4 linked regions of the Pelodiscus sinensis genome follow. The protein of the gene in region 4 interacts with the protein of the main gene of each other region in a pairwise test. Links are inferred from orthologs where the notes say so. Each region holds a gene or a part of one and is shown on either strand. Other genes may lie near its edges.

Region 1 (7,485 bases), on a different chromosome or scaffold from region 4:
AGGTGGGGATATGAAGGAGCATCAGGGCTGAGGAGATGATGGTGCACATCACAGAGGACAGTGAGAGGGGAGGCACATAAAGGGTCAATGAGGTGACATGTAATTGGCCACTGCAGTGAGCAGCCAGTGCTGGCTGGAAATGAGTGGGGGTTAGAGGGGAGCCTGATGGCCCAGAGCTGGCACACAGTAGAGACTCCACTGATGGACCATCAGTGGGGACTGGCCAGCCTTGCACGCTGCAGCTTTGCCCAACCACCAGTCTTGTACATCCACCCTATCATCAACTACTTGATCCCCACCACTTATCACTGGCCTGTGGTTGGCTGGCTAGCAGGAATTCAAAAAGCAGTAGGACCTACCAGCACTGATGAGAGGGGAGAGACAGAAAATAAGGGACAATTGCAAAGGGGGGGACAGAAGGGGTACTTCAAAGTGGCAGCACTGCACAGTGGCACCACTACTTTGAAACCCCAAGGTGGCATTTCAAAGGCGCAGACGCTGCACAGATGATTTGCAGATCAGCTGTGCGACAGCTGCCCCTTTAAAATGCCACTTCTGTGCTTTTCAAAGGAGCAGCTGGGGAGCCCAGGGGTCAGCTGGGGACTCCCAGTTGATCCCGGATTCCACGCGGAACTTCCCCGGAACCTGGGATCAGCTGGGGAGTCCCCAGCTGATTCTGGGTTCCACATGGAAGTGCCACGGGGAGCCCAGGGTTAGCTAGGGAGTCCATAGCTGACCCCGGGCTCCTAGCAGCATGAAGCATAGCATGGAGCTTGGGGTCAGCGGGGGACTTTGAGTCCCCTGCTGACTCTGGACTCCATGGCTTTGAAATGCACAAGAGCCCCTGCTGGGGACTGTTGTGCATTTCAAAGCAGGCACAGCTGTGTGCGGCCCGGAGTCAGCGGGACTTCCCGCCAGCCCTGGGCTGTACGTGGTGTTCCATATTCCTCCTTGGAACTCTTGTACATTTCAAAGGAGGAATGAAGAAGGCCTATCAACTAGTCAATGGACATTCCATTGACTAGTCAATTAACCGCATTTTAATATCCTTAGTTGGTCTAGTTGTGATCAAGGTAGTTTTATTGTGTGGTTTGGTTTGAACTGCTCTGTGTAAATCTATGCCTCCCCTCCACATTTACTATCTCGCATTGTGCCCAGAAACTTTTCTCTGTGTTTTGTTTTCCTTACTTGCTCTGTAACATCTAGCAATCAAGTATGCCTTATCAAGTCTATCTTTTGTTTTCTAATAAAAATCACTTTTTTAAGGTGATAATTTGATTCTTGAGTCCTGAAAGGTCTGTTTGTCTGTGTATTTGCATGCCTCTGACTGAGAGGTCAGCTACCAGAGACTGCAGCTTATTTTTCTATTTTCTTTTTTCAAGCTCTTTTGGGAGCTTAGAGTACCCCGGGGGTGGGTTCAAGTGTTCACCTCCAGTTTTAGGGATAAAAAATAACTTGATGGTGGCAGTTTGTTTACTTCTCAGAGCCAGGGAATCTGTGACTCTGGGAAGTTTTGGTAACCAGTGCCTGTAGAGGCAAGGTTTTTAAGCTCTCTCGAGGGCCCTCACCTTCTGCACTTGGAGTGCCAGAGTGGGGAACAGCTCTGACAAAGGGTCACATGCCCCTTAATGCCATTGGGAGGCAAGCGACGAGCTGCCCGCAGGCAGATCCTGATTTGTCCAACCGCTCTAGGCCCTGCGCTTGGGAGACCCTACAGGGCCCAGGCAATCTGGAGCACTGGTGGGGTATGATGCCAGCAGCAGTGGTTGCTCCCCCCGCAGCAGTAGAAAGTAGAGCAACCTGCCACCAGCCTATACTGCTCCCCCCTTGGGGAAGGGGAAGGGGAAGGGAAGGGTTGGAACTGCTCCCCATACTCATCCGCAGTGTGAAGTGGAGGGACATGTGTGGAAGCCAGATGAGTGGAGTGGGCTGGATCACTCCACTTCCCATGCATTCACTTGTGAATGCAGTGTGTGTGTAAACCAGGGAGAGCTTCTCTTCTGAAGAACTAGGTAAGCTCAAAAGCCTGTCTTTCTCCAGCAGAGGTTCATCCAATAAAAGATACTACCTCATCAACCTTGTCTCTTTAATACTACAGTACACAGCTTTTAGCGACATGGCTGTGTCACTACAGCTGTGTCACTAAAAATCAGGCAGTATAGCCAGTGTTTATTGGCTCTTTTGCTGACAAAATGCTTCCACAGCCAGCAAGTAGCATTAACTTTATTGGCAGGACAAAGTGCTGTTCACACAGGCACTTGTTGGAAAAACTTGTCTTTCATGGACAAGAGGGTCATTTAACACCTCTGAATGACAAAAAGTTTGTTGTTCAGTTGTCAGGATAGACTTAGCCTTAGACCATGATACACTACAAAATTATGTCAATTTAATTGATGCTGCCACACAGCTACTACAGTTACTAAATCACGTGGGCTACGTCTACACTGGCATGATTTTCCGAAAATGCTTTTAACGCAAAAGTTTTCCATTAAGAGCATTTTCGGAAAAGCACGTCTAGATTGGCAGGATGCTTTTCCGCAAAAGCACTTTTTGCGGAAAAGCATCCGTGGCCAATCTAGACGCGGTTTTCCGCAAAAAAGCCCCAATAGCCATTTTCGCGATCAGGGCTTTTTTGCGGAAAACACTACTGTGCTGTTTACACTGGCCCTTTTGCGCAAAAGTCTTTTGGAAAAAGACTTTTGCCCGAACGGGAGCAGCATAGTATTTCTGCAAGAACACTGATGATCTTACATGAGGTCGTCAGTGTTCTTGCGGAAATTCAAGCAGCCAGTGTAGACATCTGGCAAGTTTTTCCGCAAAATCACATGATTTTGCGGAAAAACTTGCCAGTCTAGACACAGCTGTGGATTCTTGCATCAGTGATGCATGTTCTCACCAGGAATGCTTGTATCCATTGTATTGTCAGTGTGGGGCATTGTCGGACAGCTCCAGAAAGCCAGTGATAGTCATCATAAGCAATTTGTTGATATAATTACATCGTGACTCTGCACTGCTCAGGGAGGTGCTGTTATTAAATGGGTGTAGAAACATTTACATCAGTAGAAGCCAAATTTAAGTGACGAACACTTCCACAGCTAATTTGAGGCAAGGCAGGTTACATTAACCTACCCCGTAGCGTAGACCAGGCCAAATGCACTTAAAGTGACTTAACCTCCAGTGTGGATCCACTGGTAGCCAGTACTGGCATAGTTGTATCCCCATTAGGATGGAGGCATAATAACTATTCTGGTTTAAAAACCCAGCCCTCACCGAAATAGTTGTTCTGGTACAAATATGTATGCAGATGAGGCCTAAAAATGAAAATCAAGCAGAAGCATTCCTTGCTTTTAATTGAAGCCTGGTGTCCAGCAATGTTCCCGTAAAGATTTCCCATCTATGGCGGAATAAATTTTGTCCTGTGCACCAAGACATATGCAGATGTGTACCACCAACAGAAACACATGCTGCTGACTGCGGTCAGCTGTGGGCACTCTGCCAATCAACTGGGTGGCTGTCCAAGTGCTCTAGGGCTGTGTCTAGACTGGCAAGTTTCTCCACAAAAGCAGCTGCTACATTGCCAGCTGTCTACATTGGCTGCTTGAATTTCCGCAAGAGCACTGATTTCCTACTGTCTGAAATCAGTGCTCCTTGCGGAAATACTATGCTGCTCCCGTTCAGGCGAAAGCTTTTGCGCAAAAGGGTCAGTGTAGACAGCCCAGATTTGTTTTGCGTAAAAAAGCCCCGATCGTGAAAATGGCGATCGGGGCTTTTTTGCGCAAAAGCGCGTCTAGATTGGCACAGACACTTTTCCGCAAAAAGTGCTTTTGCGGAAAAGCATCCGTGCCAATCTAGACGCTCTTTTCCGCAAATGCTTTTAACGGAAAGCTTTTCCGTTAAAAGCACTGGTGGAAAATCATGCCAGGCTAGACGTAGCCTAGGTGTGTTCTGCTGGTCTGAAAGGGGTTGTCTTTGATCCACAGCCTGAACTTTACTTAAGATGGCAAATCCTTTTAGCAGAGCTGGGGGCATGGCAGGAGGCAGCACCTGACCCTCATTCTAGGCTGCGTGAGGACAGAGCCTGCATCTTCTGCCTTAGCACTGCAGGCCCTAGATTCCCTCCCCTCTCCTGAGGAAGTAGGGTGGGGTGTGCCCCGTGGGCGCACTGCAGGCAGCGCACCCTAGGCTGGGGGAACACGGCCCTGGGGGGGGGGGGACCCAATGCCACCAGTCTGCCTCACTAACACCCAGTTCTGGAGCCAGGCGGCGGCGCTGGCTGGCGCCCTGCGCCTGGGGCAAGCACCCAGCCCGGGGGGCGGCCCGCGGCTCCAGGGGGCCGCGGCAGGCGCCAGCTCGCGCCGCGCGCCTCAGGGGACCGCACAGGGGACGGGTGCACAAAATGGCGCCGCCCTTGCGTTCCCTTCCCCCTCCGAGAGTCAGATCCCGATCCCCCCCCCTCCCCGAGACCTGCCCCGCCCCGCCCGGCCGGCAGCGGAGGGGGAAGAGTCACCTCGCCGCCCTCTCCGTTCACTACCATGAGGCTGAAACCGCTCCCCCTCCCCCCCTCCCTTGGGGCCCGCGGCCGCCGCCGCCGCCTCGGCGTGGCGTGGGGCTGCGGGCCGGCCTCGGGGTGGCGGCCTGCGGGCCAGGCTCCCTCAGCCACCACGGGGCGCGCTGTGGTGCGCGCAAGCTTCCCCCAGCAGGTGGCAGCGGGGTCCCAGGCGCCGCTGAGGCAGCGCCACACGCCCGCCGCCGAGCGCTGCTTCCCTTGGCGGTGGTGGCGGCGGCTCCCGGGAGGCGGCCGGCGAGCTCCCCGCACGCAGCCGGGGCTTCCCCGGCACCTGGCGATCTGCCCCCCGCAAAGTTTGGGGTTGGCCCCGGGAGGTGGGGGAAGGGAGCCCGGAGCCAACTTGTCCCAAATCCCCGCTCCGCAGTTGGAACTGAAATCTCCCAGCCCCGGTTTATTTTTGCTGATTAAAGGGACGGACCTTGGTCCTGCGGCTGGGTGGCTGTATAGCCTCCCACTCGCTCTGTGCCATCCCCTTTCTCCTTCCTTTCTTCCTCCTCCTCCCTCCTGCCCACACCATGGAGTTTACGGAGAGGAAGAGGAGCAGGAAATCCCAAAGCTTTAAACTGATCAACCAAGGTAAAGTGGTGCCGGTGGGGGGTAGCGTGGTGTGTGACTTTTTGTTGTTGTTCATTTGTCTCTCCAAAGGACTTTCGGCTCAACGTAGCTGGCTTTCAAAGGAGAAGAGCAGGGTGTTATGAAATGTATGCTGCTTTCCCTTCCCTCTGTCTCCTTCAGTGTCTTTCTGTCTTTATGATTTAACTCCTTGGATTTGTTTTTAAACCCCCTCCCCAATGACAGCACGGTTTTCAAGGCAGATGGTCTCCAAAATAAAGTTGGATCGTAATTTCCTTGTAAACCCCGAGTTAAAAAAACGAAGCAGGAAATTAGTAAAATAATGGTACTTGGGGAACAGAGAAGAGAGCCCTTTCGGTATTCAACTCCTGTAGGGTTTTTTCCCCTGTTGATTGCGCACATACACGTATTTCAAATAAAACACTAATAGAGGTTGTTTTTCTTTTTTAAAAAGGCAACGCAGCCAATTAATTGTACAGAGATAAGGAAGAATTCCTGTCATGCAACTTGTTCGCTCATTATGTATTTGCTTTACGAAAAGAATAGGGTGATTTAAAAGGGATGGTAAAGACTTGTATTTATGTCGGGGGGAAACAGACCTTTCTGTTTAGATCTAAAAATCGTTGATGGTCATTTTCACAGGTGAGCTTTACAGCCTTAGTGTTTTATTTAGGTGGGGATGTGGACTGCTACTCCCACTGATTAGATCTTTTCCTCTCATTGATTTGACTTCCGTGTTTTAAAGTATTGAACTGAAATATCTCCATGAAAAGCTGTGTGTGTCCAGCATGCTAAGTTCAAGGCAAGTGACTTCTCTGGCATAATGTTACACACTTTTTCTTTAATGTGTCACACTTGGGCACTTTTAGGCATCCCTCTTCAGTCACTGTTGGATGAAAACAAATGGGAAGCAAAGGAATTTAAACATGAAAATAACTTTCGGGAAGCTAATGAAAAATATTCATTATGAGCATTGGACATAACATACTTTCTTAATCTAGAGGAATACTGTACTGTCAGGTCAAAATTGGCCAAAAATTAGTGTAGATTTTATAAAAGCAAGTATTTGCAAACATAAGGTCAGAAGAAATTAATCTGGGATTTAAAGTTCAAAAGGAAACTTTTTGAGAAACAAGTATTCTTCTGCACTGCTTATAGTATAAGCACTAGAACAGTGGTTCTCAATGTGTGGTCCATGGACTCCTGGGGGTCTGCGATAGTACTCTAGGGGGTCCACAGAAAACTTAGGAAAGGAAAAGTAAGGATTGGGCCACCACATGACTGGAGCTTTACGCCAAGTGATCCTCACCTGGGGCGTGCACACACTCTCCCCCCCCCCTTCGTTCCCACAATGGACCCCAAACCTTACTTTTCTTTTCCTTTTCTCTCCCGGGGCTCTGTGCCTGGCCAAGGGCAGAATGCCAGGGCAGGAGCTGCCTTTGGCCTTGAGAGCCCCCTTGCAGTATCCTCTGTGGATGGGCAGGGAATGAAGCAGCACAGATCAAGGGATGTGCTGGTTGCCCCTTCATGCCACTCCCCTTGGAGGTCCATAACATTTTAGCAGATTGAAAAGGGGTCCGTATGCTCGAAAAGGCTGGGAACCACTGTGCTAGAGTATGAGGATCTGAAAGTGAAACTGATTAGTTTGTATTTCCAAGTTGAGAAAACTGTTAGATGTGCAGAATAACTCAAATAGTCAAAAGTAAATTAATATTTTACAAGCATTTAGTCTTGACATGTCATTTGTAACATAGATTAATAATTTTGTAATAATACTTTTAACTATTTTTCACTGGTGATTTAGCTTGTGTTTCACTTGTGGGTTAGCTGTTTTTTGTCTGAGAACCCTTCTAAATTATAGAACACTAACAACACTAAATGCAATTTTGGAAAAAGTGGTGTTTTGATTCAGGGAGAACAGAGAAGATAAAAAATGTATTTTAGCAAAGTAAGATTCAGCTTTTATGTATGTCCCTCCTCATTTCCTATGCAAATTGATTACAAAGATCATTGAGTATAAATAGGTGTTTCCCTGCTACTCAGCTTTTGCTTCCTGCTTGAGTCATTCACTGTCAGAGTTTAATGTTTACTGTGAAGATATTGATAGTGATTTCAAAGCCTTGGACTAGGACATTGCAGACAAAAGAAGGGGGCCAAAGGAGACACCCACTGTATTGACTTATATTATGTAAATTATTGTCATTTTTACTGTATACTGTACACCCTACATCTTCTTTCATCCCACTGAATCTCAAAGCAGTTTGTCATCATAATGAAGTAATTCAGACTACTGTATATATAAAATTGTGTATTCTTCCACTGAAATGCAGAAACTGATACAGCAG
Region 2 (7,611 bases), on a different chromosome or scaffold from region 4:
GAGGGGCACTCGGGGGGGGGGGGGGGGTTCAGCTAAGCCAGGCTGTACCCTGGGCATGGTTAGCCCGGACCCTGGGGGGAATGAACAGAAGCGCCCTTGAAGCACAGGACCACCCCCCTCCACTGACCTTCTGTGCCCAGTAATAGACCGATTCGGGGTTGTTCATTTCCTTGCCCAGCCGTGCGATCATCTTGGACGGGGTCCACTTCACCCCCTGCAGGGCCCAAGGGCCAAAGCTGCAGTGAAAGCGCCCCCCTGCAGTGACCCGAGCCCTGCCCTGCCCCCCAGCTCAGAGACTTGGGGCCCGCGGGGCGTTATCAACGTTAAGGTGCCCACCCTCACAGCTCCCCACCTGGCAGCTCTCCCCATTATGGTGCAGATGGGGAAACCGAGTCACAGAGGGATGTGCCTCACCCAAGGTATAAGACCCAAGAGTCCTGATTCCTGGTGTCCCACCCACCCACCTTCTGCTCAACCCACTGGACACCCCCCCTCCCCTACACTCCATTCCCAGAGCCCAGGAGCCCTGACTCCCAGCCCCCTTCCTCCACCCATCTGCACATGCCAGGTATTTTGGCAGGGGGTTGAGTAGGGATCAGGTCAGAGACCTTCCCAGTGTCCTACAGCCGCAGCCCCTCCCCCCCCCGCCCTCACCTCCATGTTCTGCTCGGCGACCATCTGGTCCAGGATGGGCATAAGCCAGTCTTCGAACTTGCAGTAGTTGTCGTTGGGCACCAGCAGGTTCCCGATCCTGGAGACAGGAGCAGGTTCATCCCCAGCCCTCCCCCCCCCCAGCCCAGCTGGGCTCAGCCCCTCCTCCCACCCCAAGGAACAGGGACACCACTGGCATTTCCTGATCCCCAGGGGGGGGGGGCACAAAGAGGATCATGGCTGGATGGATCCAGGGGCTGAGAACAAATACAGCGTCTTTCACTTCTAGAGCATCATTTCCTGAGCCCAGCCTCCCCCTCTCATTCCTGGGCCCCACTCCCAGAGCAGGGACAGAACCCAGGAGAGTCCTGGCTCCCCTGCTCTAACCACTAGACTGCACTCTCCTCCTAAAGCACTGACAAGGCCTGACTCCTAGTCCCCCGTGACTCTAACCACTAGCCACTATTCTCCCCCAAATCAGGAGTCCTGCCTCCCAGCTGTTACCCCAGCCCCGCCTGTACCTGTTGATCCCGCTCTCCCGAAGCTCCTTCCCTTGCAGGCTGAACTCCCCCACGTAGGTCGGAGCCAGGCATTTGATGAGATCTTCTTCCACGCCACCCGCTGTCGTGACCAACACGTCCACCTGCATGGCACAGGGACCCCAGCCTGTCAGAACCCCACCCCAGGGAGCCCTCCCACTGTTCATCAGGTGGGAGAGCCCAGCTCTGTGGTGGGTGAAGGGAATGGGGGGGCCATGACAGCAGCCTGGGTGGCAGAGCCTGACACATACGGGGGCACCTCTGGATGCAGGTGCTTAGTGTCAAGAGGGCACAGAGGGACACGGGAGCAGGGCTCAGCACCTGGAGGGGGCAGGGGCCTTACCATGTTGTGCTGCACCAGGTAGCGGATGGTCTCGCGGATGCCGGAGCTGATGAGATTGGAAGTGAAGCCCAGGAAGATGGTGCAGCCTGAGGGCTGCCGGCGGCAGGGGTTCAGGTCTGCACGGGTCTCCTCCTCCTCCCCCAGAGGCTCCAGCTTCGCCGCGATCTGGGAACCAGAGCAGCCCCACATCAGCAGGGCCATCCCTATCCATGCTGATGCCCTACACAGCCCTGCACTGAGGGGACTGTGGGGGCAGGGGGAGGGCTGCCAGTTCTCCCAGACCGAACGTCACTGCTGCAAATGAGTCTGGTTGGGAGAGCTGGCAGCCCTAGGCAGGGTGGGGGAGACGCAGGGGCATGGGCCCGGGGAGCAAAGAACAGCCACACAGCCGCTTCTCTCCAGCTGTTGGCTACCCACCCTACAGGGGCCTGGCTGGGGAATGGGACCCGAGCTGCCACAGAGCCACGGGCTAGGGGGCTGGCCAGCCAGGGGAGGGGGCTGCTACAGCCCATATGCAGCACCCAGCTGCATGGGCACCGTGCAATTTGGTGCCCCACTCAGCTGGGTGTTCTGCGTATTGGCAGAGACGGGCCTGCCCGGCTGCTGGGTCGGGGAGCGCAGACGCCCAGGCCACCGGCCCCCACCCAGGTCTCTGGCCTCGCAGCGGGGAAGTGACCTGCCTGCGGCGAGCGACACGGAGCCCCGGAGTCCTGGCGCCCCCGCGCCCCCCCGCTCACCATCCTGTTGATCTCCTGCACCGCCTGCCCGAAGCTGGTGGCCTGGAAGCCGGTGGTGAGGTAGGACTGGAGCAGCGCCCGGTGATCCAGCCCGCGCCCGAAGTCGTAGCCCCGCACCCGCAGGCTCTCCTCGGGCAGGACGGCGCTGGGCTTCAGCACGGCCGCCACCGCCGCGGCGGGGAACCCCTCAGCCGCGCTCTCCATGGGGCCTGCGGAGACGGGCCGGGGTCAGCCCCCCCACGAACCCCCCCCAGCCCCCTCCGCGAACCTCCCCACGAAACCCCCCCAGCCACCCCTCCCCCCGCGAGCCCCACCAACCTCCCCACGACCCCCCCCGAGAACCCCCCCAACCCCCCCCCGCGAGCCCCCCCAACCTCACCACGAAACCCCCCCGAGCCCCCCCAAACTCCCCACGAACCCCCCCAACCCCCTCCGCGAACCTCCCCACGAAACCCCCCCCAGCGAGCCCCCCCAAACTCCACACGAACCCCCCCACGGAACCCTCCGCCCCCACAAAACCCGCCCGCCCGCCCGCCCGCTCGCTCGCTCGCTCCCTCCCTCCAGGCCCCGCCCGGCTCCTACCTGCGCCTCAGAGCCCTTCTCGCCCCGCTGTCGCGCTCCTGGCCGCCGCCATGTTCAGCCCGGCCGGCTACGGCAGCCCCGCGGGGTCAGGACCGCGTCCGTACGCCTGGGCGCCGCCATGTTGCCCCTCGAGCGCCGCCGCGCGGGAACCGTATGCGTGGGCGTCGCCATCTTGAATAGAAGCCACGTACGGGAGCCCTGCAGGGTCAAGTGTCCTCCGACCCAAGAGCCCAGCACCTACGCCAGGCCCCTTCAAACACCAGCCTGTCCGAGCCGAGCCAGCCCCGCACTGGACCCCGGGCGGGGATGGATCCGGAATCGATTAACCGATAAGCGAAAGCACGTCGGTTAACGCTATAGAGACCACCCGCCTTCCCCCGCGTCGTCCTGCAGCGGGGAGTTCCGCTGGTGCGGGACTGGCAGGGCCCCCTCTTCACCCAACCTACAGCCCATGGGGGCGAGACCGGCGTCCTGGCTGCCCACCTCAGATCTCCCCACCTCCCCCTGCTCCCCAGCATCACACAGGCCTGAAAAGGTGCAGCTGCTGCTCCCGTGGGGAGTCCCATCCCCGAGACCCCCGCCCAGGGCAGCTGGTCCATGCGGGTGGAGGGGGGGTTCCAGCCCTGCAGCAGCCCAGGGCGCACACAGAGTTCAGCCTGTTCTGGCCTCCAGCCCGTTCACAGGACGGATTAGAGGGAGCCGTCCTGCAGGGAGCACTAATTGCCCAGGAGGTGGAAGCTAAATCGGGCCGGCATGTTCCTTTCACAGGTGACTGGGCCCGGCAGGGGGCCCAGCAGAAAAACAGATACTGCCTGGGACAGCTGTGAAGTCAGCTCTGCAATAGGGAGGCAGTAGGTGCCTGACCCCTTCCTCCATTCCAGGATGGGGCACCCTGCTGACAGCTCTGGAAGGACAGTGGAGAGTAGGGGGCAGAGCAAGGACGTGAGCAGCAAGCACTCACACTCCAGGGCCTCCCCAAGACAGGAGGAGAATCCAGGAGTCCCAAATTCCCAGAATGCCCCTGCTCTAGCCACTAGACCCTACTTCCCCCTTCCAGGACAGGCGTTAGGAAGCAGGACCCCTATGTTCTGGACCCATCTCTAGGAAGGCCTCCCTTGCTCTAACCACTAGTCCCCACTTCCTTCCCAGAGAGGGGACCCCAGAAGTCCTGGCTCCCACCCCTTGCTCCAACCACTAGTCCCTGTTCCCCAGCCCACCCTCTGACTTTGCTCACCTGCCTTTTGACCACCCCCCCCAGGTCTCCAAGGCAGGCACTAGGACAGGGGTCAGGCCAGGATCTCCCCCTGTACGGCAATCCTTCATCAGCTCCAGGCATATGCAAGGGTGGGGGGAAGGAACCAGGCCATGTGTCCACAGCAAAGGGCCAGCCTGGGATTGTTCTGGGTCCCAAAGAAACCATCCCTCAGGGACTGCAGGGAACTTCAGTGCTGGGCCAGGCTGGCAGCTGGCAAACCCTCATGGGAGAAGAGCACGAAGGGCAGAAGTGAAGCCTCAGTTACCCATTCTGTTCTCAACCCCCCCTCGGGTGGAAGGAGGATGCCCACGTCTGCACAGGGAGTCAGTGGCAGCCTGGAACAGTCGCTGCAGTGCCCCCGTGCCTCAGTTTCCCCACCCATATTTCCCAGGAGGGGTGCTGGGAAGCAGAGGGTTACTACAATGCGAGGGCAGACAGACATACAGCCCCGCACTGCAGGGACCCCAGTTAGCCACAGCAGCCGGTTCTGCTGGGGAAGGGGCCTGCCCCAGCCAGCTCGTTGTGCACAGGCAGGAAGGGCCTCAGGGATTGGGCCAGAACCCGAAACCTCACACTGTGTTTGTCCAAACGGCCCCGGGTGGCGCAGGGACCCTCTCACTGGCGTCAGTGAAACGCTCACGGCCCTGTTCACAGCCCAGCCCCACCCCCCAATAAAGCCTCCATAGCCCATTCCCCCAGTGCTTCACTCTGGCTCTTGCAATTCCTGTGGGGAGGCAGGGAGAGGAGAAAGCCGCCGTGTCTGGAGCTCCCAGGAGACCAGGATGGAATTTCCAACACGGCGTGCCTGTGACTGCACCGGGAAGGGGATAACGAACCCACCAAGCGCTCTACTCGGCTCCAGTCTGGCAGAATATTTTAATCAACAACATAAGCACGTGGGTCAAACTTAGTCCCGTTAGGTTACACAGCCAGTCGATCAGCCCCTGCCTCTGCCTTCCTCAGCCCTTAGCAGCAAGCGCCCCCCGACGGCGCCGTCCAGCGGACTGACCCCTCACTCCCAGCCCCACCTGCACTGTGACCCCAGAGGCCTTTGGAACAGGTCCCGAAGGAGCAGCCAGGGCCCATGCACCGTGGCAGGTAGATCAGTAGCAAAGGCTGCCTGGGAATCAGGCCAGGGTTCAGCCAGCTAAGAAGCCCAGAGCAGGAGGGGAAGAACGTGAGCCAGAGAGCTAAGGCAGTGCACCTGGCGGGGGAAGGCTGGCCGGGCTCCCACCCCTCTGGGAACAGCAAGGCCAGGGTGAGCTCAGGCAGCGAAACTTCGACCTCGCGGCTCCTCGGGCCTCTTCCAAAGAACAAGGAACAAATGACCGACGAACGGGCGCCGGAACTCTGGCCCCCCGGCCGGCAGTCGGGCGCCGGGCGCAGCACCTCCCCCGGCAACACACGGCTCCGCAGATCCAGGCCTCCATCAGGCGTTGAGCCTCCAGATTTCCAAGGACAGGCCCCCGGAAGCAGCTACCACAATGTTGCCTTCCGCGCTGATCTGGGGGGAAGGGGGAGAGGGGGTGTGAACAGGCACCGGGGACTGAGGCCACGTCAATCCAGGATCCCGGGGCGCCGGCTCCAGGGTTCCTGCTACGTACACCCTGCCCCCGCTCCGAGTTTAGCCACAAGGTGTCCTAGTGCTCAGCATGGCTGCGGGGCCCTCCCGTGTGTGCAAGGAGAAGGGAGCGCTCCCCCGGGCGGAGCTGAGTGGCCGTGGGCCCAGGCCACAGGAAGGAAGCCAGGACGGGACGTGTCAGCCAGGTGTGGCTTGGGGAGAGTGCAGGGACGGGGATTCCCCCCGGCTAGAGCACAGCACGCAAGGTGGCTGGGCGCTCAATGCCCAGACACTCTTGTCCTCCCCGATTCCGAGGCCCGGGGCTGCCTTACCCCGTTCAGCACGTTGTTGTGTGTCCGTGTGCAGACAGTGCGAGGCGGGTCCGTGGGAACGTGTATCTGGAAAGAGACGACTTGTGGGGAGGTTGCACAGAGCTTAGTGAGTCTCAGAGGAGCCTCTCCGTGTGCTGTTTTGGGGGGGGCACTGGTACTTTGGTGTCAGCACTAGGGGGTTTGCATTGGTGCAGCTACCCCAGGACAAGGGCCGGCTACCAAGGGCCCAAGACACCTTCAGAGCCCTGCAGGAAGCAGGTATCACCCCTTCCCGTGTCCCCTGGAAGCTGAGCCCTGGGACAGCTGCCCAGGTGACACCCAGCTGGTGAGCAGAGCGCCCACAGCTGGCAGCCTGTGGCTTTTTGGGTGGTGCACATCGGCATGTGCCTCTGCATTTGTAACATTTATTCTGCACACAGATGGAAAAACGAGAGGGGCCACTGCCCCTACCCCCTGGTGGGGAAACTGAGGCACAGAGCAGGGATGTAACTTGTAGCCAGCGTCCCAAGGCTGGGGTTAGGACTCAGGCATTCCTGGCTCCCATGAGTGGTGGAGAAGGGCCGCTAGGCAAGCCTGGATCTTACCCGCAGGCTCTTGTCGGTGGAGGTCGTGTACAGCGTGCCCAGGGAGTGCCAGACCCCAGTGATCTGGGACCGGTGACCCACGTTGAAGTACTGTGGGGAGGAAGGAGACCATGAGCCCCCTGCAAGCCCCATCAGGGGTGAAAGCCATGGCCTGCCTGTTCCAAACCCACATGGATCCCAGCATCTCTCTGTTCCTAACCCGTCTCCTCCATGCCAGGGACTCTCCGCATCCCAACCTCAACCCTCCAGGTCCCTCTCCAAAGTGGTTCTGAGGGTGGCAGCTCGTACCTCACCAGGTATTCATGTGGACACATCGCCACAGTGTCTGAGCTGTCACGATCCCCCTCCCCCCCGTGAGGTACTACCATGCTAACAGGGAACCGAGACAAATGGGGGCTAAAGGCACAAAAAGTCTGGCCAGGTCAGCTCCTTCCCACTGTGCCATCAGCTGCCATCTCAGCGGAGGGGAGGGAGGGGGGTCAAGGAGCATTGAGACCCCTTCCCCTGCCCTCCAGGACATGGGGACCCGAGACCCAGCCAGCACGGGGCTAATGGAAGACAGGCATTAAGTGAAACTGACAAGGAAGCTGACATCAGCTGAGTTCAGAGGCCCAAGTCACAAGCAGTCAACTAGCAGCATCCAGCAGGAGCCAGATTTCACCCCAGGATGAAAGGGGGACAAACAGGCCCGGTCCCCTGAAGCCCTAGCTCACGTACTCGGCTGTGCTGGAAGCTGCCGCCTCTGTTTTTAAAGACGTAGAGCAGTCCCTGGTTGTCCCCGGCCCACAGCTGCGTCCCTTGGTAGGACATGGAGAGCAGGTAGGATTCCAGCTGGAAGCAGAAAGGAGCAGAGAGAGGGTGGCACGGACGGGTCAATGCGGGTGGGGAAGGGGAAATCTCACAACACCCTGTTTCTCGGGACCCTGTGGGGAACCGATGTTTATAGACAGGTGGAGTACGTGGAGTGGAACAGGAGAAAGAGGCTCAGGTTTCAGGGGGACTTAGATTGAGGACGGACCCGGAAGCG
Region 3 (7,204 bases), on a different chromosome or scaffold from region 4:
ATGTGACCCGGTGAGTCTTGCTGGTTAGAGAAGATGGGAAAAAATAAGGGAAAAAAAACCTGGTGTAATTTTAGAGGTAGTTCTTTGGAAGTAAAAATAAAATGGAGTAACTTATCTTACTTTCTAATAAAATATTAAAATGAGTTGTAAATTAATTTTTCCCAAAACATCTCCATATGGTACCACAATGAACTTCTTTCCTATGGACAAATGAAACTATCCTCTCATCACACCTGAACAGGGATGAAAATGTAGTCATCTGTATACATTTTCCTTTAACATACTACTAACAAACGGTAAAGTGTTTCCTGAAGTAACATTAATTAGACCTTTGTCTTCAGATACTAGAAGAAGAAAAACATAATGTAAAAGGCAAAGGACATGTTAAAAACCCCTCTCTGCACTTTCTAAAAATAAATCCCTTCCCTGTCTTGAAATGCGTTGCATGTTAAAGCCAGTCTCCTCTGCCTTTAACAACTGCATTTTTACATCAAAGGCTAAGAATGGGACACTTCCAGTCCATTTCATTAGCCTAATTAGCACCAGTCCTACAATTGACCAGTACTTTTTTGGTTTTTTTTGTTATATATCTTGGTTTATGTTATTTCTACTCCAGCTCATTTGAAGAAGCTCATGATTCTATAGTTAGTCTCTAGGGCTATGTCTACACTCACGGCTTCTTGTGTGAGTAATATGCAAATGAGGCTAAGCGTGGAATATCGCTGAGCCTCATTTGCATACCTAATGAGCCACCATTTTTTTCAGAAGAGGCTCTTGCGCAAGAAGGAGCGTCTACACTGCACCTTCTTGCGCAAGGCCGTTCTTCCTAAAAAGTAACAGGTGTAACGGCATTGTGCCAGAAGGTTTTTCTTGCGCAAGAAGGTGCAGTGTAGATGCTCCTTCTTGCGCAAGAGCCTCTTCTGAAAAAAAGGTGGCTCATTAGGTATGCAAATGAGGCTCAGCGATATTCCACGCTTAGCCTCATTTGCATATTACTCACACAAGAAGCCGCGAGTGTAGACATAGCCTAAGGGTATGTCTACACAATGGCACTATTTTGGAATAATGTCCATTATCCCAAACTAGCGTTCTGCATGTCTTAACAGCATGCCTGCTATCTGGAAATTCATTTGAAATAATGTGTTTCTTATTCCAGCTTCCTATAAACCTTATTGCATAAGGATTAACGAAGATACAGGCATAGCAATTTATTTTTAAATTAGTGCTGTGTAGACAGCACCAAATTTCAAAATAAGCTATTTTGAAATAAGCTACACAATTTGCATAGCTCAAATTGTGTAGCTTATTTCAAGATACATGTTACTGTGTAGACATATCCTAAAGTACCACAGGTCTACTTGTTTTTGAAATGCACTGCATTACTTGCATTCAAAAGGGCAAGGTGACTACTCCCCTTTGGATACATAGCAATGCAAAATTGGCAGAGTAAGAAGAGCCATAACTGTATCTTTCTGCTGGCCAGCAAGGAATGTAGGGGGAATTATAATGCACCCTGTTCAGAAGTGAAGAAGTAGAAACACTGCCCTTTTCTTTCAGTGCTTCTGCTATAGTAATGTGGTTCTGCCCCCCAGCCACCTTGGAGTTATACCCAAAAACTTACACAGACCAACTCCAAAAATCAGGCACAAAGGCACCCAGAAGACGAACTGATCTTGAAGAATGTTTTGTCCTTACAATAGTGATAGAAATGTAGCTGTGTTAGTCTGGTGTAGCTGAAACAAAATACAGGACTATGTAGCACTTTAAAGACTAACAAGATGGTTTATTAGATGATGAGCTTTCGTGGGCCAGACCCACTTCCTCAGATCAAATAGTGGAAGAAAATAGTCACAACCATATATACCAAAGGATACAATTAAAAAAAATGAACACATATGAAAAGGACAAATCAAATTTCAGAACCCTCTTCTGTTCTGAAATTTGATTTGTCCTTTTCATATGTGTTCATTTTTTTTAATTGTATCCTTTGATATATATGGTTGTGACTATTTTCTTCCACTATTTGATCTAAGGAAGTGGGTCTGGCCCACGAAAGCTCATCATCTAATAAACCATCTTGTTAGTCTTTAAAGTGCTACATAGTCCTGTATTTTGTTTTTACAAGTGTGGCATGCATTATTGTTCCCTGGCACACTGAGATAAGGGCCCCAAGCACACAGAGCAATATGGAGCAAGGTGTGAGGATGGGAAATGAAGGTTGAGAGAGAACGTGGGGTTGGGAGAGGAGGGGTGGGAGTGTCTTGACAAGGGAAAAGTGTGAATCTTTTCTGTTGTGCTCCAGTCTTAACCAGAGTAATTGCCCCTTTATATTTAGTTCCACACCTCCAGGATAATAAATCCTACGTGTTGTCAGGGAACACCTGCAGCACAGCAACCGCGCCATTACAGCGAGGGTGAAATACAGCCGCTTCCTATGTTAGGAGCAGGTTTCCCCGTTGCTGTATTTAATCCACCTCTCCAGGAGGCAGGCGCTATGTGGATGGAAAAATTAGCTGTCAGTACAGCGGGGGCCAGGTTAACCTAACTAGACCAGGCCCCCTTGCTAGGCCGATCTCCTGTTCAAGCCCAGGGGCCGTAGCGCTATTTCTCTGTGTGGGGCACGCGGGCTCTGGCCAGGCGCAGCGAGGTCGGGCTGGATCCGACGCTAGCTGAACTGGCCGCTCTCTGCCTCGCAGTCTCAGATCACCTGCCCCGCCCGGCCGTTACTGGCGGTTCGTTGCAGACGGGCCGGGGATAAACGCGTCTCCCTTTCCCGCCAAAAGTGGCTGAGGCGAAGGTCTGCGATTGCCCGGGAGCGCGCGCACCCGGAGTTCAGTCTCTGACACGACAACGCTGCCTCGCGCACGCGCAGTGGTCACCGACAGCGGCGACGTCCACAGCTGTTTACGAAGGGACCCTACCACCGGGAAGAAAGAGGTTGGATTCTACCACTGGGGAAGAGGGGAAGGCAGGGAGCCGGGAGAACGCTGGTCTGTTTGAGGGCCTGGGTTAAAATACACCCGCCCGGCCGGATGCTGCTCACGAATGGAACGATCCGTGTACAGCGGCCCTGACAGAGTTTCAAGCTATGAATCGGTATCCGGTGTCGGACCTCCCCCCCCCCTTCCACAGCCCAGAATGGTAGAGTCGGGCGGGAGGGACAGAGACTGACTGAAGCGTTCTCAGTGGTCTCCAATCTTTTTACACCCAAGATCTGCCCCGCCCCTTCCCCGAGGCCCCGCCCTCTCCATCACTTGCTGTCCCCGGCCCTGACTGGCTCTCGCTGGGTTGAGAGCAGCTGCTGGCCCTGGGGTGGGAAGGAGGCACCAGGCAGGTGAAAGTGGCTAGTTAGCAGGGGGCACACCCCCCAGAGACTGCCCCACCCCCAAGCCACCCTTTAGTGTGGGTGGGATCTTTATCCCCCCCCCCCAATTTGTACAGGAACATTGCTTGCTTTTCTTCCAGGGAAAGTATACAGTTTGCTGCTCTCCTCACTCTGGCTAGGAAACACAAGAGGCAGATGAACCTAGACCTAGCTCAGCCAGGGGAAATGCACCCATCCCTCGGCTGTGCCCGCTGGAGCTGCAGCAGCCCTAGAGAGGCGCTTCTTGTCTGACCCCAAGCTACTGTGCTGAGAGAAGACTGGGGTAGTTCTCTCTCCCCAGTTCAACCTGCATATTGAACCCCTCATCCATCATCCCACCATATTATTTTTCAAAAAACAAATTAATTGAGTTAAGGACCCAAGAAATGCCAGGGCAGCCTTCTAGTATTTTCATAACATATATCCCTATCCCTATAGAAAAGGAATGGCTGTATAACAAAGCTGCTGACTTTAGTTATGATAAGATTTTTGAAGCCACTTGAGTGGAAGCAGGACAAATCCTAATAACTTTCAAGGCACTTTTGAAAAATCCCAAACTCAGTCCCCAATAGTGCAGAGGTATATTTAAGCATGTCTGTTATTTGCTATGTCAGAAAATGAAACATGGAAAAAGCAAATTGTAATCTTCCTAAATGGGAGTGTGAGAGTGCTCAGCACTTTTGAAAAATCAAGCCATGTATTTAGGTACCTGAATGTGGGTTTAGGAGCCTAAGACCCTGGGCGGCGGGAGGGGGAATTGCTTTACATAGCTTTTATGGAATAAGACAGCATTTTCTAAACTTGGGAGGCAGGACTGCACAGCTTTGTTTACTTTACATGTCCATAGCCTTGCAGCTCCCATTGGCTGCAGTTTGTTGTTTCCAGATGGAATAAGATATTCCCCATCTGGACATTATTCCAGAATAAAAGTTCACTTTTATTCTGCAAGGCTACGTCTACACTGGCCCCTTTTCCGAAAGGGGCATGCTAATTTTCAACTTCAGAATAGGGAAATCCGCGGGGGATTTAAATATCCCCCGCGGGATTTAAATAAAGATGTCCGCCGCTTTTTTCCGGCTTGGGGAAAAGGCGGAAAAAAGCGTCCAGACTGGCCCGATCCGCCAGAATAAATCCCTTTTCCGGAGGATCTCTTATTCCTACTTCGAAGTAGGAATAAGAGATCCTCCGGAAAAGGGCTTCATTCCGGCGGATCGGGCCAGTCTAGACGCTTTTTTCCGCCTTTTCCCCAAGCCGGAAAAAAGCGGCGGACATCTTTATTTAAATCCCGCGGGGGATATTTAAATTCCCCGCGGATTTCCCTATTCTGAAGTTGAAAATTAGCATGCCCCTTTCGGAAAAGGGGCCAGTGTAGACGTAGCACCAATAGTGTGGGGAGGAATTATTCTGGAATAGCTAAATTATGCCAATAAAGATGATATTTTTCCTGTGTAGACAAGGCTTAGCTTTAGCCTCCCATTTAAAAACAAAAAACCCAAAAGACAAACCTTGCCCTGTTTTTCCTGTTTATAGACAGGCTCTTCTAGGAGGCAGATGAGTTGACCAAGCTGGAAAGGCTACCATTCATCCAAAAGTGCTGCTAAAATGATAATGTTGATCTACAGCACTTGAACTTCAAAGCTGTAAAGTGCTATACAATCTCATACCACTAATGAGTGGGATTCTATTTTATACACTGGAAACTCGACACAGGATTGGATTCATTGCAGGGTTCACCAGCACAGAGGAGCCTTCTGCAACTTTCCTCCTTTCTGGGAAGGTCTGCAGCTAGCCAGCCCAACTCCATTACCACATATTGTTGGCAAGAGGCGATGCACTGAGTCTCAACTACACTGCCTTTCAGCTTGGGCCAAGACAGTTCAGACAAAATAAAAAACAGCTCAAATCTTTGACACAGAACCAAACTATGAAACCATTAAAAATATTCCAGTGACTTTTTTTAATCCTCATATTACTTCTATTGTTGAAATCTTGTGATATTTTTCCAGTCCAGTTTTACAGATCAAAGAGATTAGAAATCAGTCAGACTTTTGAACTCAGTTCTTCCCATTTTTTCAGGTTTGTCTGTTCTAATTGATGAAGAAAGCTTTGGAGTGGGCTGCCTAAAATACACCCTTCAGATGCAAATGAAAGTCTGAATGGACATTTATGCCAATTTATGGTCGGGGAATCTTGAATTCTGGTTTGCTCAGAGTGCAGCTTGATTTATGGCTGTTTCTGCATAAAGACACTTCTGTGACAGACTTGAAGTCTTGTCAGAACTGAAGAGGGGTCAGCATTTGATTCAGCTTCTTCATCTCTCCTTTCTCTGACAGCAATTGCTTCTCTTTTCTGTAGTATGGGAAGGACAACGAGAGAGAAAAAATCAAAATAACTTGTTCAAAGCTATCTTTGACTAAGATTTCTAAAATCACCAAAGCAATCAAAGAAATTTTAAGAGTGGATTTCTCCACCACTTTGGAATTGATGTTAATTAACCCTTGAATCCCCAAATCCATAAACATGTAATGCCCCCTCCAAGCCAACTTTCTTAGGGCATGTCTACACTGCAGCATTATTTTGAAACAACAGGTGTTATTTTGAAATAAAGTACATGTCTACACAGCAAGCCGTTATATTGAAATTATTTCGAGATGGTGGACTTCTTACTCTGACTTCTGTAACCCTCATTTCATGAGGAATAAGGGAAGTCAAAAGAAGAGTGTTCTTCCTTCAACTTCCTGTTGTGTAGATAGCGCCAAAAGCTGAATTAAGCTATTTTGACTTCAGCTACGCAATTGATGTAGCTGAAGTTGCGTATCTTAATTCAGCTTTTGCCCTGCAATGTAGACGTGCCCTTAATCACCCTGTTACCCTCAACAAAATTCAAGATCACTTTTCCAAAACAAAACAATACTCTCAAACTCCTTTGGTTGACCATTAGCTCACAGATTCCATCTAAAGCATCATCAGTAAAACATCACATTACATCTCTGTATCCCTCTGGAATAATTAGCTAATGTTACACCACAAAAATATCCCCATATTTCCTTATTCCCCAACACCCTCTGAAATCAATGTCAGGCAATAGGTTTCACCTTTGGCAGACACCAATAAATCACTGGATGTGTTCAGATTATTACAGAATATGTTAAATTGAAACCACACACATTTTTTGTACCTGAGGAATTCTTGCTTCTCTTTCAACTGGTGCTGGTCAAAATCCTTTATTTCTCTGCGGTGTCTCTGGTACACTGTTTTGAAAGCTTTGTCCAACTGGCGGATATGATTAAAACCTTGTTGGATCACATCTGCATAGGTTGGAGTGGACTCAGTAATTTGAAATGTAAAAGAAAAAAAATCTTGTCTTTTGGTAAAGCAACAAAGACATCATAGATAAGTTAGGACTGAGATGAACTGATAAAGCTGTGTGTAGATGGGCGGGAGATGGAGGCTCAGGACTACAATAGCATAGGATATTTAAGGTCAGCTTTATGTCAGGGAAGTTAGAATTAAAATAGCAGAGGATCTTCATTAGTGGGAACAGAGATGGAAAAGGCTGAACCTCCCTCCTGGCATTGCTCCCCAAGTACTCACATTATCTAGTAGAAAAATATTTGTGTTTTAAGACCAATCTAATTTATTCCATTCATTTTTCAATTAGACAGCATTTCATCTCCCATTTTATTCAGCTGCTTCCTCCTCACATTTGTTTTCATAACCTTCCTATTCTGTTACTGAGAGCTTTCCATAGAGAGATATGTTGATGAGACTTTCCGGGACACTGTAGTACTGTCCCACTGTAGTACTGTCCCAGGTTGAGAGCCCCAGTGCTCTTAAAGA
Region 4 (7,280 bases):
TCCGTGGAGCCAGCACTCACGGTGAGCTGGCTTAAAAGCTGGTTCCCCGCACGTATTGGCTCCCGCCTGTCCCGTCCCCCCCACCTTCTGCACTGCTGCCTCTCTATCAGCCCACAGGCACCAGCTCCTGCCTCCCCCCCACTTGCTGCGTCTGATACAGATGCAGTGTGGAAGGGAGTGGGGGAGGAGGATGCATGTAGTCAACAGGATTAACCCAGGCTTATCGGTTAATTGTGTAGTCATCTGTGCGCCGACATCCTGATCAGCTACATATATTTTTCATCTCTGTGAATCAGACCAACTTTCTCAGCTCAAAGATGAGAGTTAAAAATAGCCTAGTCGGTCATATTTTGGCACACCCATGCTGGTAATCCAAGTTCCTGCCAGTTTCATTTCATGAGATGGTAGTACATGCACTGTCAGTCTACAGTAGAAAGGAACAAGTGGCAGGTTGAATTAGCACTGATAAACTGCAAAAAGTGTCCTTGTATAGTCCTGCCTCAGAAAGATGGTGGCTGCAAAATTCAATTTTCTCAGTGATGTGAAATATGCAGTTAAAGGGAGAAAAAAAAACAATCAATAGTGTTAATTCACAAGTCAGTTTGTGCTCTAGATTATTCACAATGTATGTTATGTGTATTAGAGGGAATGCAGATTGCTTATTTTCAAAACCTCAATGGAATATACATGAGTTTTCACACAAATGGGTGTGCTAGCTGTTCAATAGCTAAGACACTACCATACCTCTCTATACCCAGTTTACAAAATCACAGCATTTATACTGAAAGATTTACATTAATGTAGGGGAAAAGGATCACACTTGCTAGTAGATACAGAGACATTTACAGAAAAGGATTACAAAACTAGTGTTCTGTGTTGCATGTTTTCAGTACTTTACATAAAAAGAAAACAAGACAATTGGCTGAGATCTCTATGGAGCCACAATAAAAAAAATATCTGTATATTGTTTGTGAAATGAAACCTTGCACTGAATTTCCTGGATTTATTTTTTTAATTTTTTTTAAACCCTAACTTTATCAAAAGGGTAATAAGTACTTAATCCAGATATGTATTTAAAACCTTAACACATTTTTCATGTGGGAACAGAGACCAAATTAAATGACCAAAAATCATTACCCAAACTGGAATCTGAATGTAGTGTTCTAGGAGCAAAACCTAAACTCTCATGAAATAGTAGAACTGACGTATTCCCTTTTCCACAGCACATTGGACACAAATCAGTGAAATGGGAAGCTGACCTTTTATATCACAAATTCTTTACAATAAACTGAATTGTGAAATTATTTGGGTGCAGAGCTGCGGTCCAGTTCTCAATACTGAACTCCCAAAATATAACAATATATCTAAAAAGTGCCTGACTTACCATGCTTTTTTTCTAGGAGTCCAATGCAGACAGGTCAAATGGTTTCCTGAAAAGAAAGCACATTTATTTTAGCTTTCTTCACCACCTCCTTTAAACATTCTAAAATTGGTTAGGTAGACAATGAAATTATTCTCATGATTACATTATGGATTTTTACAGTAGTGTTCAGAACAACATGTTCATAAGCATTTTATGTATATTACATAACTACGCGCAGAGCTAGAATTTAATAGAGCTCAAAAGAGTTAACATATTAATACAAATTAATATATTTTTATAAATGAATCAACAGCTAGAAAAAAATTCCATGTGATGGGAGATGGAAGAAATTGCAACTAAGGGCTATCAAGTAGGGATGTCAACATATAGTCGACTATAACCGATAAGCCTGGGCTTATTGGATAACCTCCACCCCATCTCGTTGCCTCTGTATCAGAAACAGCAAGGAGAGGGAGTGAGGTGGGAGATAAGTGCCTATGAGGAATCATTTTTTAAGTCAGCTCTCCACGAGCACTGGAGCACCAGATCCCACGGAATCGCCTATCCCCATCCCCCTCCATGCTGCTGCCTCTCTATCAGAGGCAGCAGCACATGGGGTGCAGGTGGGAGCCAATACACGTGGGGAGCAGGCTTTTAAGATGGCTTTCCGTGTGTGTTGGCTCTGTGGAGCCACTTGCCCTTCCCCCTTGCAGCAGCGCAGGCCTCCTGTGGACAGGGGGCTGCTGCATCTGTATCAGAGGCTACAGCGTGGGGCAGCAGGTGGGAACCAGTCTGCACGGGGAGACGGTTTTTAAACCGGCTCCTCTCATGGACTAGTTCCTACCTGCCACTCCACACTTCTGCCTCTGATACAGTGGCAGAAGTGCGGATGGCAGGTGGTTGTATGGGAGTGGGACTGAGAGCATATTGGTTGCTGGCCCCACCCCTGGGGATTATTAAATATTCATGTAATAGCTAAAATTTGATGTGGTTACACAATTATTCAATTACTGTACGTTGTATCTAACATCCCTATTATCAAGCAATTAAAAATAATTGTGATTAATTGCACAGGTAAACAGTAATAGAATACCATTAATTTAAATATCTGTGGATTTTTTCTACATTTTCAAATATATTGATTTTTATTACAATTCAGAATAAAGTGCACAGTGCTCAATTTTATATTTTTATTACAAATATTTGTACGGTAAAAAACCCCAAAAGAATTAGTATTTATCTATTCACCTAATACAAGTTCTGTAGTGCAGTCATGAAAGTTGAACTCTCAAAAGTAGAGTAACGTACAATCGCCTCCCTCCCGCAACTGTAGACCATAACCCTATATTTTCCCCTAAACCTTGCCTGCAGCTTGTATACTTTCCTAAACCTTTTAACTGTTTTACTCTGTTTTAGCAGTAATGCAAGGGGCCTACAGAAATCTTATTTTTGTAAGAAGTTAGCTTTGGCAATAGAGTTGGTTATAAGTAAGAATTACAGAATATAGCTTATTAGTGAGTGTGGAAATTTCCAGTCTTGTTGATAAGGCCAGGTCAAAACCACAAAGAGGGCTCGAGTGCTAGCGAAGAACAAAAATATACGAAACATGTCCTGTTTTACCAAGTCAAGAGGTGAACAATATATAGTAATTTTTAGAATATTCAGTGTCTTGCCCATTTTTGGATGAGATGTATTCTCTCCAATCAAATGTGTGCATGCTCAAATCTTGTGTGAAAATCTGCATTTGGTTTGGCTATTGGTGATGTAAAAATGCCTATAAAATGCTATCAATGCTCTCCCTGAGGTCGACGGTTCTCCTATCTCTTCTTGCCTTTCATACTGTCCTTTACTGTACTAGTACACTTATATTCTCTGCTACCATACCTTCTTATCTCTCACTGAGACCCCCGTTCCATCTGTGGAGAGAGGCTGGTTCCTTTGTCTCCTGAGGGTCTTCACTAAGGTATAAATATGGTGTTAGGCTAGGTAATTGCCATTGAATACTCAGGATATATATTTAGTCTTTGTTACATTTATATTGATGCTGCAACGTGAGGCTATCACATCCATTTATGCGACTGTCACCTTAAGTTTCTTATTGGGGGTAATCATAACATTCTTTACATTTCTCAGTTTCTTTTGCCAATGGTGTACGTGTCTTTACTGCTGCAGTTCTTGAAATCTGACTCCTGACATAGTCCATCCCACTCCTAGCCAGACTGCCTATGACAGCCAAGAGAAATCCCCCTGCAGCAGCTCCTGGCGGACAGAGGAGCTTTTCATTCCATGCAGCTCCCAGCCAGGGGGTGAGGGAGTTGGAGAGACTGAAAGTGTGAGCTACAGCTGTGCTAAGGCAGCAGGCAGAAGACAGTCCACCTGAGGGGGAGGCGAAGGGGGCTGAAAGACTGAAACCAGGGAGAAGGGGCTGAGAGAAGAGAGACAAGTTCTGGCTGGAGAAGAACTCCAGTAACCATAGTGTCTTTTTAAAAAGGAATCCAAGGATTTGAAACCTGACATGTCTGACTCTGAACCCTAGCGCGGGGGCTGCATTGACACCCTGACTAGGAGAGATGCCTGTTCCCACGCAATTTCTAAAGGTTCCAGACAAATGACTGCCATTAGGCTTTACAATCCGGCACTGAAAGCCATTAAGGGCGGCCCCAGATCCCTGTTTCCTATTGTAGTTTCTTGGTTCTTCAGCGTGCCGAGTGACTCACAAGTAAAAAGTAACAGGCTCACTTGGGATTAGCACGGGCAGGGCGCAGACCTTATTTACAGGGCCAGGCTTTTCCAGCAGGGGCGCACACGCCATAGCAATGTGTCACCGCGCTGCTTCCTGTGGGGGAAGGTTACCCAGGAAGCCTCCTGTGATTTTTTTGTGTGTGAAATAGTGAAACCAAGAAACTCCCCCCCCCCCCCCCCCAGGACGCTGGTGTGTAACATGTGGGGCCCACACTGAGCCAGCCGGCTCCCCTGTCCCTGCTAAGAGCGGCGCGTGCAGAGCAGGGTTATTTCTGGCAGGGCAGCAAGGGCCGCACGCAACTGACGTGAGTGTGACCGCTGCACCCGAGTGACCACCGCGGGGACCAGCCCCCCCGGCAGGCAGGGAGTCTGGAAGCCAGGCTGCACGGGGCCTGTCGGGGGCTTTGCAGAGCTGGGGGGGGGGGCGGGAGGCGCCGCAGAGGGACTGGCGCCCCGGGGCTGAGGGAGAAGGGGCCCAGCCGCCCGCTCACCTGTTTCCCGCGCTTTGCAGAGCTGGGGGGGGGGGGGAGGCGCCGCAGAGGGACTGGCGCCCCGGGGCTGAGGGAGAAGGGGCCCAGCCGCCCGCTCACCTGTTTCCCGCGCTTTGCAGAGCTGGGGGGGGGGGAGGCGCCGCAGAGGGACTGGCGCCCCGGGGCTGAGGGAGAAGGGGCCCAGCCGCCCGCTCACCTGTTTCCCGCGCTCGCAGCGGAAGGCGCCGTTCCCAGAGCGACCAGGCCTGCGCGGGGCGGGGCCGCTTTCCCGTGAGGCGCTGCCAGCTCCACCGAGGTAGGTGCGGGTCCCTGCCTGCCTGCCTGCTGGGGGGCTCCAGAGCGAGAGCGGCCAGTGTCTGGGGCTCCACAGCGCCCATCCCCGTGGCGCCTGGGCTGCAAGTGTTCCCGGCCGCGCCCCCCCCCCCCCCCATAGCTTCTTCCCGGGCTGTGCTCCCTGTTGAAACCCGGCTCCCCAGGCCCTTAGGGGCCAGTACAGCCGTGGCCGAGCCTGCCCCACCCCCAGACTGCAGCGAGCGTGTGGCGTGTGGCGGTGGGAGAAGGGAGTTACGGTGGAAGAGGCAGTCAAAGTCTGTTGGTCAGGCGGGGTTTGCAGAGCCAGCCTGGAGCTTTGCGGAGACACGGAGGGAGGGCTGCCCTGCCCGAGTGGCTATTTGAATCCGCACTAGGCTCCCACGTTCGCTTGGGTTTCAAGTCAGGCCCGGTTGTTAGTATTTCCCTCTCTCCCGCGTGCAGCATGGATCAGTGTTGGAGAGCACGTAGCAATTCTTGTTGCAGGTACAGTCTGATGATCTTCACTCATGCGGACTTGTCTCCAGTGTATCCTGTTCATCCTTCTGTCTGATCCGTCTGTTCTTTACCAGAGTTTCACCATTGTGCTTGATACTGCAGCTGGGCTTTCCAGTCTCAAATTGCCAAGGCCCTTTTACAAATTGGAATCATCCAGTCATCTGTTACAGAGACTGATTTAAGCAATAACTTACCTATTACAGTTAGTAGTTCTTCAATTTCATAACCAAGTTCTTCAGAACTCTTGGATGAATGCCATCTGGGCCTGCTGACTTATCACTTTAATTTATCAATCTAATCCTCCTTTATTGCCATCTCTGTTGACAAATATTGAATATGATGCCCACGTGGAGGTGTTATGCACCTGGGTTGGACATTGGCCAGTCTAAATGCTCGGACATTGGTGTTTAACTCAGAATTGTCTTACATTTCTTCCATATCCCCCAACGCCTCTAATTATGTTTTGCCCCTCTAGATATGTGCATGCTGCTGTCCTGTGTGCACCTGATTCACCAACCTCTCCGGCGCATCCAGTCTTGGTTTGTCTTACCTTCACGCTCCTTCATGGATCTAAAAGCTCTAGTTTCCTCTTTGAATGACTTTGCTTCTCTCTCTCTGGCTGAGAGTTGGGACAATGTAGGACTACTGGTAGAACCGAGCCCACCCCATTCTGTGAGCACGCTCTTCCTAACTAATGACCTTACAGAAGAAGTAATGCAGGAGGCATTGCAGAAGAAGGCAGATCTTATACTTTCTTATCACCCACCCATATTCCGAGCACTCAAGCGCATAACATGGAACACCTGGAAAGAACGTCTGGTGATCCGGGCTTTGGAACACAGAGTTGGCATTTACTCTCCACACACAGCCTATGATGCTATACCTCATGGAGTCAATAACTGGCTAGCCAAAGGACTTGGTGAGATACTCCTTTTTTCAGCTGTTACAGGTTGAACCTCTGTGGTCCCACATGATTTTAGTTAGCAAGATGTCCACTTAAGCAGTAAGCCAAGTTTCCCACAGTCCCATAAAATTTGTTTACAGCCACCAGTCCTGATTCTCAGTGTTCTGTGCTGGTACTTAGTTCTAATTTACCCATAAGTGTCTTCTAAGAGCCCAGTAAGCAGTGGAAGTGTTGGTAATGTTGCTTGTCAATATTGACCTCCCATGGTCTAGCAAATTCTCTGGTTTGGCACCAGTCAGGTCTGAAAGATGCTGGACTAGAGAGGTTCAACCTGTAGTCAGTTTCAATTACTCTTTATCAATATAGTATAAGTCTATGGGGAATGTCTTTATCAATTTTCCCATGTGTTTATGTGCACAATTTGAGATTGAGTGGTGTGGAGAGGGTGAATAAAGAAAATTTATTCATTAGTTCCCATAATATAAGGACTAGAAGACACCAAACTAATGTTTAAAACTAAGGTTTAAAACTAATAAGGGAAAGTTCTTCTTTACACAGCGCATAGTCAACCTGTGGAACTCCTTACCAGAAGAGACTGTGAAGGCTAGACCTATAACAGAGTTTAAAGAGAAGCTAGATAAATTCATGGAGGTTAGGTCCATAAAAGGCTATTAGCCAGGGGAATGGTGTCTCTGGCCTTTGTTTGTCAGAGGCTGGAGATGGATGGGACGAGACAAATCGCTTGATCTTTGTCTTTGATCCACCCCCTCTGGAGCACTTGGTGCTGGTCACTGTCAGCAGACAGGCTACTGAGCTAGATGGACCTTTGGTCTGACCCAGTACGGCCATTTTTAGGTTCTGATGGTGCAAAGATGAAATCTATCAGTGAATCAGAGGCACTCAGATACCATTGATGAGGATCAAAAAAATAAAAGTATTGAGGAATATGTACATTTTTAGCTGACAGTGTAAC

Evidence for each region.
Region 1: the proteins of NIF3L1 (region 4) and BEND7 interact in binary tests that used the Homo sapiens proteins (3 or more experiments, as listed by UniProt). The two-hybrid records come from large-scale screens. The link is inferred for Pelodiscus sinensis from reciprocal best matches to the Homo sapiens genes NIF3L1 and BEND7.
Region 2: the proteins of NIF3L1 (region 4) and DHPS interact in binary tests that used the Homo sapiens proteins (3 or more experiments, as listed by UniProt). The two-hybrid records come from large-scale screens. The link is inferred for Pelodiscus sinensis from reciprocal best matches to the Homo sapiens genes NIF3L1 and DHPS.
Region 3: the proteins of NIF3L1 (region 4) and DMC1 interact in binary tests that used the Homo sapiens proteins (3 or more experiments, as listed by UniProt). The two-hybrid records come from large-scale screens. The link is inferred for Pelodiscus sinensis from reciprocal best matches to the Homo sapiens genes NIF3L1 and DMC1.

Annotation. Positions count from the first base shown.
Region 1 is NC_134711.1:14,014,479-14,021,963, reverse strand, and holds the start of BEND7 (BEN domain-containing protein 7), read left to right. Parts: upstream 1-4,482; 5' UTR 4,483-5,082; coding exon 5,083-5,143; intron 5,144-7,485.
Region 2 is NC_134729.1:13,363,458-13,371,068, reverse strand, and holds the start of DHPS (deoxyhypusine synthase), read right to left. Parts: upstream 3,010-7,611; 5' UTR 2,853-3,009; intron 2,480-2,852; 5' UTR 2,475-2,479; coding exon 2,271-2,474; intron 1,699-2,270; coding exon 1,534-1,698; intron 1,295-1,533; coding exon 1,173-1,294; intron 752-1,172; coding exon 655-751; intron 215-654; coding exon 128-214; intron 1-127. Other genes in the region: FBXW9 (F-box/WD repeat-containing protein 9), read right to left, coding at 5,537-5,611, 6,001-6,066, 6,585-6,674, 7,302-7,415. UniProt on the Homo sapiens protein: Catalyzes the NAD-dependent oxidative cleavage of spermidine and the subsequent transfer of the butylamine moiety of spermidine to the epsilon-amino group of a critical lysine residue of the eIF-5A precursor protein to form the intermediate deoxyhypusine residue.
Region 3 is NC_134711.1:91,668,886-91,676,089, reverse strand, and holds the start of DMC1 (meiotic recombination protein DMC1/LIM15 homolog), read right to left. Parts: upstream 3,019-7,204; 5' UTR 2,475-3,018; intron 1,828-2,474; exon of another isoform or gene 1,622-1,827; intron 1-1,621. UniProt on the Homo sapiens protein: Participates in meiotic recombination, specifically in homologous strand assimilation, which is required for the resolution of meiotic double-strand breaks.
Region 4 is NC_134717.1:73,550,002-73,557,281, forward strand, and holds the start of NIF3L1 (NIF3-like protein 1), read left to right. Parts: upstream 1-4,280; 5' UTR 4,281-4,410; intron 4,411-4,596; exon of another isoform or gene 4,597-4,629; intron 4,630-4,695; exon of another isoform or gene 4,696-4,718; intron 4,719-4,752; exon of another isoform or gene 4,753-4,932; intron 4,933-5,151; exon of another isoform or gene 5,152-5,391; intron 5,392-5,878; 5' UTR 5,879-5,880; coding exon 5,881-6,322; intron 6,323-7,280. Other genes in the region: PPIL3 (peptidyl-prolyl cis-trans isomerase-like 3), read right to left, coding at 1,385-1,387. UniProt on the Homo sapiens protein: May function as a transcriptional corepressor through its interaction with COPS2, negatively regulating the expression of genes involved in neuronal differentiation.